Linked DNA regions of Xenopus tropicalis. The protein of the gene in region 2 purifies or fractionates together with the protein of the main gene of each other region. This does not show direct contact. Links are inferred from orthologs where the notes say so. Each region holds a gene or a part of one and is shown on either strand. Other genes may lie near its edges.

What was found.
Region 1: the proteins of rhobtb1 (region 2) and cops6 purify together in Homo sapiens (affinity purification with mass spectrometry; 4 studies listed by BioGRID and IntAct, counting the BioPlex papers as one, with this or other methods). This does not show direct contact. The link is inferred for Xenopus tropicalis from reciprocal best matches to the Homo sapiens genes RHOBTB1 and COPS6.

The regions. Positions count from the first base shown.
Region 1 is NC_030679.2:144,242,134-144,246,259, forward strand, and holds the start of cops6 (COP9 signalosome complex subunit 6), read right to left. Parts: upstream 2,801-4,126; 5' UTR 2,780-2,800; coding exon 2,728-2,779; intron 2,460-2,727; exon of another isoform or gene 2,373-2,459; intron 1,369-2,372; coding exon 1,243-1,368; intron 1,152-1,242; coding exon 1,020-1,151; intron 1-1,019. UniProt on the Homo sapiens protein: Component of the COP9 signalosome complex (CSN), a complex involved in various cellular and developmental processes.
Region 2 is NC_030683.2:16,841,062-16,849,665, reverse strand, and holds part of rhobtb1 (rho-related BTB domain-containing protein 1), read left to right. Parts: intron 1-4,745; coding exon 4,746-4,931; intron 4,932-5,966; coding exon 5,967-6,922; intron 6,923-8,604.

The DNA.
Region 1 (4,126 bases), on a different chromosome or scaffold from region 2:
GAACAGCCCCCTAAGTTTGCCCATAGCCTGTACAGAGAGATACCTTAAAACTATGGCAGCATAGGGATTCCCCTGTACTAAGCCCAATTCAGCAGGAACAGCCCCCTAAGTTTGCCCATAGCCTGTACAGAGAGATACCGTAAAACTATGGCAGCATAGGGATCCCCCTGTACTAAGCCCAATTCAGCAGGAACAGCCCCCTAAGTTTGCTCATAGCCTGTACAGAGAGATACCATAAAACTATGGCACATAGGGATTCCCCTGTACTAAGCACAATTCAGCAGGAACAGCCCCCTAAGTTTGCCCATAGCCTGTACAGAGAGATACCGTAAAACTATGGCACATAGGGATTCCCCTGTACTAAGCACAATTCAGCAGGAACAGCCCCCTAAGTTTGCCCATAGCCTGTACAGAGAGATACCGTAAAACTATGGCACATAGGGATTCCCCTGTACCAAGCACAATTCAGCAGGAACAGACCCCTAAGTTTGCCCATAGCCTGTACAGAGAGATACCATAAAACTATGGCAGCATAAGGATTCCCCTATACTGAGCACAATTCAGCAGGAACAGTCCCCTAAGTTTGCTCATAGCCTGTACAGAGAGATACCATAAAACTATGGCAGCATAGGGATTCCCCTGTACTAAGCCCCCCTAAGTTTGCTCATAGCCTGTACAGAGAGATACCATAAAACTATGGCAGCATAGGGATTCCCCTGTACTAAGCACAATTCAGCAGGAACAGCCCCCTAAGTTTGCTCATAGCCTGTACAGAGAGATACCATAAAACTATGGCACATAGGGATTCCCCTGTACTAAGCACAATTCAGCAGGAACAGCCCCCTAAGTTTGCTCATAGCCTGTACAGAGAGATACCATAAAACTATGGCAGCATAGGGATTCCCCTGTACTAAGCCCAACATTTTTAGGTGCTATATAGTGATTAAAAGATGACCATTTCCATATTGTGTGTGGGAATTATAACATGTACGTGCCCCTAGTGGCACATAAGCACTTACATTGCTCTTCCTTGGTGTAATAGTACTCTTTATTAATGGTGATCTTTTCTTCGTTAATCTGAGAAAGCAGCTCAAACGAGTTCATCACCTCAATGTTTCTGCCCTCCTGCTTCCCGATTAGGGCTCCGATAACTGTGGGTGGGAGAGGGAAGGGGGGTCAGTAAGTGGGTGAAGCCTCAGGATCCATAGGAAGAAATGAGAGGAAGGGATAGTGGCACATTACCCTGCACCGGGCGCCCCTCCTGGGATCTCATGCGTATCCAGTGATCGGAGATGTTCAAGATGACGAGGGGATGGAGCGCAACTGTCACGCTGCCAGTTACCCCCTGCGCCATGACAGTGGGGAAGGCTAGGAAAGAAACGACAAAATGTTCAATAACAGTTCTAGTAAAAAAAATACATAGGGGAAGTTTGTACAATAATATCAAAAAAAGCTACCTTCTATACTGTGGGCATTTATCATATTCTACACATTTAATGCTGCTTTCCTAGTACAGAAAGTTCCGAATTAGGGAAAGGCCATCTTCTATAGACTCCATTTTAATAAAAGAATTCACATTTTTGAAAATGATTCTCTTTTCTCTGTAATAATAAAACAGTACCTGTACTTGATCCCAACTAAGATATAATTACCCCTTATTGGGGCAGAACAGCCCTATTGGGTTTATTTCATGGTTAAATGATTCCCTTTTCTCTGTAATAATAAAACAGTACCTGTACTTGATCCCAACTAAGATATAATTACCCCTTATTGGGGCAGAACAGCCCTATTGGGTTTATTTAATGGTTAAATGATTCCCTTTTCTCTGTAATAATAAAACAGTACCTGTACTTGATCCCAACTAAGATATAATTACCCCTTATTGGGGCAGAACAGCCCTATTGGGTTTATTTAATGGTTAAATGATTCCCTTTTCTCTGTAATAATAAAACAGTACCTGTACTTGATCCCAACTAAGATATAATTACCCCTTATTGGAGCCAAAACAATCCTATTGGGTTTATTTAAATTATTTTTTAATAGACTTAACGTAGGAGATCCAAATTACGGAAAGACCCCTTATCCAGAAAACCCCAGGTCCTGAGCATTCTGGATAATGGGTCCTATACCTATAAGATATTGTTACATTTGTTTTGGACCAGCTATGGTCACTCTTTTCTCCTCATAAAGTGACAGGTCTGGCTCATATTACCAGTGAATAGTTAAACAAACAGTATCTGCCCTCAGGTGTTTTCTCTGACAGAGCAGAAGGCTTTGCCCTTTGGGCAGCCATGTTTGGCCCTGGCAGAAATACAGCCAGACTGTAATACACAGGGAAGCATGTAATAGTTCAGTCATTATTTTGGTTACACATGATTTTCCTGTCACAACTCAAAGTCTGTATTTATGTGAATACTCCCAAGAAGCCATGTTGTTCCCTCACACACATAAAGCTTCACTTCAGCGCTTCACGTTACTGCGCGCCTGTTTCCATTGATTGACGTTTGGCACAGCCAATGGCGCTGCGCCACTCATTTCCTCCTTATCCGGACAACCAGTCCACACGCTATACAGGCAAGCCCGCATCCAATGGAGACCTATAGGCTTCACTGTAACGATTTCAGCGTAAAGCCGGTGTCTTCCTGTGTATTTTCATAAACTCCATATGAGAGCGAACTGTTTTGCTCCTGCTGCATTTTGCAATAGCCAAGCGCTTTACATACTCACCGGCGACGTCCACCTCCATCCCGCTGCCGTTCGAAGCAGCAGCCGCCGCCATCTTGCTCCACCCTGCACTGTGGCTCTTTACTAAGCTTGCGCATTTCCCAAGGTGCCTTTCGGTTATCATGTGATAGCCTGGCTTCCTAAACATGTCAGTCACACAAGGGGGTCTGTGGCAATGTTGGCTATAGGGCTTAAAGGGATTGTGTCATGATATTTATGGGGAACTTTTTATTTATTAAATGACACTGTTACACAGCAAATAATTCCCTCTGCCATTTAACCTTTTATTCTTGAACCAACAAATGTATTTGTAGCTGTAATATTGGTGTGTAGGCGCCATCTCAGTGCATTGTGCCTGAGTCTGAGCTTTCAGCCAGCGCTACACATTAGAACTGCTTTCAGCTAACCTATTGTTTCTCCTACTCCCATGTAACTGGAGGAGTCCCAAGCCGGACTTGGATTTCTTACTATTTAGTGCTATTCTGATACCTACTGGGAGCTGCTATCTTGCTCCCTTCCCATTGTTCTGCTGATTGGCTGCTGGGGGTGAGGGGGGGGTATCACTCCAACTTGCAGCGCAGCAGTAAAGTGTGCCTGAGTCTGAGCTTTCAGAAGGAGCAAGTGCTACACATTAGAACTACTTTCAGCTAACCTATTGTTTCTCCTACTCCCATGTAACTGGAGGAGTCCCAAGCCGGACTTGGATTTCTTACTATTGAGTGCTATTCTGATACCTACTGGGAGCTGCTATCTTGCTCCCTTCCCATTGTTCTGCTGATTGGCTGCTGGGGGTGAGGGGGGGGTGGTATCACTCCAACTTGCAGCACAGCAGTAAAGTGTGAGTGAAGTTTATCAGAGCACAGGTCACATGGCTGTGGTACCCTGGGAAATGAAGAATATGGCTAGCCCCATGGGAAAAACAGATTACAATGCAGGATTCTGCTCTATTAACTGATGGGTTTTGTAACAAACATGTTTTCCCATGTCAGTGTTCTTTTAAATTAAGCCTAGACCTTATACAAAAATTCAGTCTCTCCCGGGGGATATATGGTAAATGCTAACTAGTGACTTGCCGTTTCATGGAGATAGTAAGTTATGTATAAACAACCCCCTCCCACAGTTTGTTGTGTCTGTCGAACAGATACGCTGATGGGTAATCTGTTCCCCCGTGCTCTAATGAACTACTTTTTTCCTCCCAAAAGTGCTCGCAAGAACCAGGAAGTTGGAAGCTGAAATTAGTTACAAAAAAAACATGGATTTTTTTTTTCCAGTTAAAATAATAGGCAGAAATTGTGTTGTAATTTAATATATTATAATAATCTGTGCCCTTTGCCTGCTTCGTTGCAGCAGTTTAAGTGCACGTTCGCCACTAGATGGAGCAGTATGGGTGCTAATAAGTAAG
Region 2 (8,604 bases):
AGTCCCTTCCCAGAGGCTATTATCCCCCCACTGCTACTATAGGCACCATCTCTCCCTACTATACCTGCTATCCCACAGCCCCAGTCCCTTCCCAGAGGCTATTATCTCCCCACTGCTACTATAGGCACCATCTCTCCCTACTATACCTGCTATCCCACAGCCCCAGTCCCTTCCCAGAGGCTATTATCCCCCCACTGCTACTATAGGCACCATCTCTCCCTACTATACCTGCTATCCCACAGCCCCAGTCCCTTCCCAGGGGCTATTATCCCCCCACTGCTACTATAGGCACCATCTCTCCCTACTATACCTGCTATCCCACAGCCCCAGTCCCTTCCCAGAGGCTATTATCCCACTGCTACTATAGGCACCATCTCTCCCTACTATACCTGCTATCTCACTATTAGTGAAGTAGTAAAGGAATGAGTTGTGCATTATTAAACTATACTTTACCCTTTATTTTTTGGCCCCAGTGAACCAATAAATACTAACTGCTTGCTTCCCTGTCATACATCTGGGTGAATTGGTTAACACACAAATGTGTTTCTTCAATTGATGCCAACTCCTGTGGTCTCTTGGGTGTCATAATAACCCACATCAGGATATAATTGTACTCTTATTTCTTGGCAGAGGCCACTGTTGGTTTCTCTTGGCTTCTCTGAAATTGTCACTGGGTTTGAAGTGTTTGAAAAAGACGCCCACGAGCCACGTCTGGTTTGGCACAACCTTTAAGTGCGACCTGTTTGAGATAAAGAGGCTGATTTACTAGCACAGATGCTTAATTGGCCGAGCAGCATTATATATATATATATATATATATATATAATATATGTGTGTGTTTTAGTCCAGTAACATCTGGAGACAGAAGGTTCTTACACTTCTTACATTTACTGTAGTTAACATATTTTGTGTTGACAGTGAGACAGTGCATATCATTTTTATGCCTGCCCCTGGAAAGTAAAGGGGAGAAACCCCAACATACAATGCATTTTAGCAACAGCATTAATAGGAATTAAATGGTGCCTTGGAAGCTAATAAATTTGTTACAGATGGATATGTCCGGCAGATAGAGCCTTCATCATCTGTGTAGACATATCTCAGATACTGCCAGAACCTTCCCCGGGTCCCATTGTTATGCATGTCGTAGTGTGTGCTATGGTGTGTGCATGTTAATGCAGCAGGTATGGAATTTTGAATGTTAAATGGTATAAGGATGAAGGACTCCCAGCTCATTGCTTGCAGAGTGATCCTTGGGGAGGGACAATTAACTAATTAAGGGTTTATTATTTACATCAATGCTAAGCATTGGGCATCTAGCCATGCCGAGAGTTAAGCTGTCCATACATCGGATATTGGTCACACGGTTAAATAGATGTCAGACACCAGTTGTAGTGACTTCCATTGTAGGTCCCCCCCCCCCAAGGATATCGCCCGATACACAATACATGCATTATCGTTACCCGAAATTTTCTAACCAGGCCGATTGACTAAACCAGGGGTCCCCAACCTTTTTAGCACCACGGCCCGGTAGGAAGCAAAAAGAGGGGAGGGGGGCGGGGCGCGTAATACATGTGACGCACTGGGGGGGGGGTGGGTGTGCTCCAGTCCACTGCCATGCCTGGTGGTTGGGGACCCCTGGACTAAACGACTGATCGCCATGGTACGAAAATTATTGGGACAATAATTCAGACCCACACATCCGAAAATCATATGAAACTGAGTTTACATCTGTATGTATGTATATATATATATATATATATATATATATATATATATATATATATATATATATATATATATATATATATACAGTATATGTATATATATATATATATATATATGTATATATATATGGCCAGCTTTAGAGATGTTGGGCTCCTGGCGAAGGCTGGGGCCCCTTTCCCGGGGGGGGGGGGAGGTAATGCATACATGGGAGAGACAAAGTTCCAGTACTTAGCTTTGTTTTTATCTAGAAGTTATTTTTAGGTGAACTTGCCCCATAATAGGATTTGACAGTCCTGCCCTAGATTATTGTGTTTAGTGTGAGGAGTCACTGACGTCTGTGTGTGTGTGTGTGTGTAAGGGCTACACAATCCAGCAACCTTTGTCCCTGCGTTCCGTACAATTGATTACAGCAATAAGTTTATTTGGATTTGTTATATCCAAGCATCCCAGGGCCACTCTAGTTGGCACATCTCCGAGGCATGGAACCTGCCGCTGTGCTTTATATTTGGCACAAAACGCGCTCTCTTCCTCATTGCGAGTAGCAACCTGCAGTGCTGTGGCATTAGCATATTATTTATAGAAACCCTGCGTCTGGCGTGAAGTCCTTGTCATTCCGGAGAAAAATACAAAATGAGCAAATCTATTAGGGCTGAATATGTTAGGGAGATGGATACCGGCACCAGCGGATACAATGCTTGGGGCACAGTCGGTATGTTCCGCGCACAGCGGCGCTGTAGGAGGTTTGCTAAAATCAATGCTACACCAAAAGGCGCATATACAGAATTACTAAATGACATAAATGACATTTTTACCCCTAATGCAGCATTTTTATGTGTCAGACACATTTGCATAACTCCTGTTCACTTACTAGTCATTTAAGGAGGGCACCCAATAGCTACACAGTTATATAGGGTGACTTCCTAGTAATTATAGGGGTGCACCCAAAAGCTACACAGTGCTATAGGGTGACTTTCTAGTCATTATAGGGGTGCACCCAAAAGCTACACAGTTATATAGGGTGACTTCCTAGTCATTATAGGGGTGCACCCAAAAGCTACACAGTGCTATAGGGTGACTTTCTAGTCATTATAGGGGTGCACCCAAAAGCTACACAGTTATATAGGGTGACTTTCTAGTCATTATAGGGGTGCACCCAAAAGCTACACAGTGCTATAGGGTGACTTTCTTGTCATTATAGTGGTGCACCCAAAAGCTACACAGTGCTATAGGGTGACTTCCTAGTCATTATAAGGGTGCACCCAAAAGCTACACAGTGCTATAGGGTGACTTCCTAGTCATTATAGTGGTGCTCCCAAAAGCTACACAGTTATATAGGGTGACTTTCTAGTCATTATAGGGGTGCACCCAAAAGCTACACAGTTATATAGGGTGACTTTCTAGTCATTATAGGGGTGCACCCAAAAGCTACACAGTTATATAGGGTGACTTTCTAGTCATTATAGGGGTGCACCCAAAAGCTACACAGTGCTATAGGGTGACTTTCTTGTCATTATAGTGGTGCACCCAAAAGCTACACAGTGCTATAGGGTGACTACCTAGTCATTATAAGGGTGCACCCAAAAGCTACACAGTGCTATAGGGTGACTTTCTAGTCATTATAGGGGTGCACCCAAAGGCTACACAGTGCTATAGGGTGACTTTCTTGTCATTATAGTGGTGCACCCAAAAGCTACACAGTGCTATAGGGTGACTTTCTAGTCATTATAGGGGTGCACCCAAAGGCTACACAGTGCTATAGGGTGACTTTCTTGTCATTATAGGGGTGCTCCCAAAAGCTACACAGTTATATAGGGTGACTTCCTAGTCATTATAGGGGTGCACCCAAAAGCTACACAGTGTTATAGGGTGACTTCCTAGTCATTATGGGGTACACCCAAAAGCTACACAGTGCTATAGGGTGACTTTCTTGTCATTATAGTGGTGCACCCAAAAGCTACACAGTGCTATAGGGTGACTTCCTAGTCATTATAAGGGTGCACCCAAAAGCTACACAGTGCTATAGGGTGACTTCCTAGTCATTATAGTGGTGCTCCCAAAAGCTACACAGTTATATAGGGTGACTTTCTAGTCATTATAGGGGTGCACCCAAAAGCTACACAGTTATATAGGGTGACTTTCTAGTCATTATAGGGGTGCACCCAAAAGCTACACAGTTATATAGGGTGACTTTCTAGTCATTATAGGGGTGCACCCAAAAGCTACACAGTGCTATAGGGTGACTTTCTTGTCATTATAGTGGTGCACCCAAAAGCTACACAGTGCTATAGGGTGACTTCCTAGTCATTATAAGGGTGCACCCAAAAGCTACACAGTGCTATAGGGTGACTTTCTAGTCATTATAGGGGTGCACCCAAAGGCTACACAGTGCTATAGGGTGACTTTCTTGTCATTATAGGGGTGCACCCAAAAGCTACACAGTGCTATAGGGTGACTTTCTAGTCATTATAGGGGTGCACCCAAAGGCTACACAGTGCTATAGGGTGACTTTCTTGTCATTATAGGGGTGCTCCCAAAAGCTACACAGTTATATAGGGTGACTTCCTAGTCATTATAGGGGTGCACCCAAAAGCTACACAGTGTTATAGGGTGACTTCCTAGTCATTATGGGGTACACCCAAAAGCTACACAGTGCTATAGGGTCATTACCTAGTCAATAATGGGGTACACCCAAAAGCTACACAGTGCTATAGGGTCATTACCTAATCAATAAAGGGGTACACCCAAAAGCTACACAATGTTATAGGGTCATTACCTAGTCAATAAAGGGGTACACCCAAAAGCTACACAGATCAGCCCCTGCCTTGTCTGTAGGCAGGAGATTTACTTGGATATTATAGTTTCCTTTAAGGGATGGCTACAGGTGGCATGCAGCAGATAGTGGGTGTGGCCCTCTGCGCCAAAGCCATTAATTAACCCATAATTAAAGCAATTTGTAATAATCCATTATTTGATGAAAAGATTAGCTTATCCGCAGGCATGTTTCTGTTCTCTTTCAACAGGTCGGACGTCGTGGTTCTGTGTTTTTCAATCGCCAACCCGAACTCCTTGAACCATGTGAAAACCATGTGGGCTCAGGAAATCAAGCATTTCTGTCCCCGTACGCCAGTCATTCTGGTGGGGTGCCAGCTGGACTTGCGATACGCCGACCTCGAGGCAGTCAATCGAGCAAGGCGGCCATTAGCCAGGTATTGTTTTCTTCTGCACTGGATTGGCTTTACTGTATATATTTCACTTTTGTCATTCAATCCCATTGATAAAGTTAGAAGTGCAGAGATTTCTGTGTGCTCCATTTCTACTTTCACCAAGTGACGTGGCCCAGTGTGTTGTTCCCATTGTACTGTAGAATGGCGTTGGTACAAGCATCCCAATCTAATCAAGTTGGCAGATGAGTGGAGAGCAGGATATCTATCTCCTGCTGCCAAATCCATCAATCCCGAGACAAATTCACACATTCCCTGAACTCGCTAATAACCAATTTTCTCTCCTTTCAAATGTGCCGGCGTTTTGATATGATCCCTCGTGGCATCTGTCTTTGTGAAGGTGTGAAAAATCGCATTGAAAAACAAAAATAACCTTTGCTTATCAAATCCAGAGGTGCTAGAGATGTTTCTTAGGGTGGTTATTCAGCCAAATATTCCCCAGTAACTAATTATATAAAGCAGCATACTAGCATGGATGGCTAGGGCCGGACATAGAGAATAAGGGGCCCCATGCTATGCAGGAGTTTTGGGTCAGCTGATTAACAGGCTTGTGAAAAATAACAGGCTGACTTGTGTTACCAGCAGTGCAAAAATGGCCCTAGGTTCGATTTCAGCCAGGGCACTGTCTGTATATTCTTACTATGTCTGCAAGGGTTTCCTCCAGAAAGTCCAGTTTCTTCCTATGCTCCACATACAGACAGGTTCATGTCTAGAGTGGTATTTCAAAATACAGAGGCCCAAACAGCCCCCCCACCAGCCCACTAAATTGTGACTCTATATGGCATCTTTCAGCAGCCCCTCTGGCATTTGCCAGAACCAACAGATTGCCAGTCTGGGCCTGGGCAGTTTAATTGGCTCTGGATAAAACTAACCCTGGTGTGTGAATATGATAAGGAGATTGTAAGCTTCACTGGGGCAGGGACTGATAAGAATAGGAATATGTGGTGCTTTATAAATAATAATAGTTGTGTTTTCCTTTTATTCTTATAATGACAATATTCTTCTTCTTTACCATTGTAGGCCAATAAAAAGAGGCGATATTTTGCCCCCAGAAAAAGGTCGGGAAGTGGCCAAAGAACTCGGGATACCCTACTATGAAACAAGCGTCTTTGACCAGTTTGGCATTAAGGATGTGTTCGATAATGCCATCAGGGCAGCGTTAATTTCAAGGCGGCACCTCCAGTTTTGGAAGTCTCACCTGAAAAAAGTTCAGAGACCCTTACTGCAAGCTCCGTTCCTTCCTCCTAAAGCACCGCCGCCAGTCATTAAAATCCCTGAGACCCCTTCAGCCAGTATGAACGATGCCGGCGACTTGCTGGACAACCCTTTGTGTTCCGATGTCTTATTTGTCCTTCAGGACCAAAAAAAGATCTTTGCTCATAAAATTTACCTTGCTACCTCCTCTTCGAAGTTCTACGATCTCTTTTTAATGGAACATGAAGAGTCCCGCCATTCCGCCGACAGGTACTGCAAGAAGCTCAACAAGGACTTGCTAATGAGGACATTAAGCCTAGATACGGATGAGGACGGCGATGTGGCTACTTTGAAACCGGCAAATGCCTGTCTACGGACATCAAGGAGCGACGACACATTGCTGACGACGGACTTGAGCGAGGACGGGTGCGTCTCTTTGTCTTCTTGGAGTAAGGGGTTCCACAGCATGTACCAAGAGCTGACGGTCAACCCCGTATCAAACAGACCTTGTCCAATGACCGTCATACGAATGGATTCCTCTATACAGTATGGGCCTTTCAAAACCGTCCTGAGGTTCCTTTACACGGGACAGCTGGACGAAAACGAAAAAGGTCTCATGCGAGTGGCACAGATCGCAGAGATTCTGGAAGTCTTCGACCTGCGCATGATGGTGGAAAATATTACAAATAAAGAAGCCTTTATGAACCAGGAGATCACAAAAGCATTCCACGTCCGAAAAGCAAATAGGATAAAGGAGTGTCTTTCCAAAGCCACCTTTTCAGGTAAGTTTCATGAAACCTAAACTTTCATTTTTAGTGTTACATATGTACATAAAGGCCACACAGTTTGATGGCCAATATCAGGGGTCCCCAACCTTTCTTACTTGTGAGCCAGACTTAAATATCAAAAGACTTTGAGAGCAACACAAGCACCATAAAAGTTCATGTAGGAGCTGCTATTAGGCAGCCTCTATGCACCCTATCAGCTTACAGGGGGCTTTATTTGGGAGTAAATATTGTTTCTATTCAACCAAAACTTGCCCCCAAGTCAGGAATTCAAAAATAACTCCCTGGTTTGGGGGCACTGAGAGCAACATCCAAGGGGTTGGGGAGCAACATGTTGCCCCTGAGCCATTGGTTGGAGATCACTGGCCTATATGCATAGGATTATCATGTATGTGGCAAATAAAGATCCCAAAATGAAAATATTCCCTACCAATTTAACAAACTGCCTGCAACAGTAATCCCCAAACAGTAAATTGATCTCAGAAAACCATATATTTATGGAAATATACATTCTGATAAATCCAAACTATGGCTGCTCCAAACTATGAAACTGTAGAATAGATTATATCCTAATAGACTATGCTTAATGATGTCATCTATTTCAGACAATTCTTAGTTATGTCACTTATCACATGACTAAAACGTCATCTCCAGTACTGGTATAAAACCCTTTTTCTGGCATTAAACTGGTTGAGCTCTGCACTCTATGCAGAGTGCGGCTCCAGTGGGTAAATCACACTTATGGGTCACAGTTAGAGCTTATTTTCAAATGAGAATCTTACCCTTCATCTAGATGGGTCCAGGTGCTCATGCCCCAGACCGTCAGCTTAGGGAGCCAATAGTAGAATCACAAATAGAGTTAGTTGGCAGGCACATCCGGATATCAAGGAACAGAAAAGTTGTCAGGAAGCAGTATTGTAAAATAAGAACTCACAAAGTTTATTTATCCGTACATAAAAAGCAAAAAAATAGGTAGCCTTACGCGTTTCGTACCAAAGGGTACTTAATCATAGGCTGATAATTAAGTACCCTTTGGTACAAAACGCGTAAGGCTACCTATTTTTTTGCTTTTTATGTACGGATAAATAAACTTCTTATTTTACAACGCTGCTTCCTGACAACTTTTTTGTTCCTTGATATCCGGATGTGCCTGCCAACTAACTCTATTTGTGATTTTAATATCCACTCCAGCGGGTGTAAGGCAGGGGTGGTAAGGACAGGGCCCTGTTGCAGCCTGCATCTGTGGGTGCTCCCTTACTTCTGCACCTTGCAAGTTAGGGTATGAAAGGGGAGATGCCTACGCGCCTACCACCGCCCCCTCAGCTCGAATGACAGCAGAGCTGTTTCATGGCACAAATCAGGTGTCTATGCTCCATTTGGGGCACAAAATGCCTTCCTGCGCTGCTCACTTGGTGTGTGTGCCTCGGCAATATGCTCTCCTTTGTTTCCGATTGGAGGAAGGTGGCACCTTCACCTTGATTCACGCTCATCATTAACCCGATCAAGAGTCAGTCTAAAAATACTCTCCCCCGAGATCTAAAAAGACAGATTGCATTTTAATAGCAGTGTGAGGCCTGTGCTATGAGGCTATGAGTGCTATGAAGCTAATGAAGCAGGCAGAAAGGGTGCTAATGCCGCACCAACAGTTTTTTTTCTATGGCAGATTGAAGTGAATTTAA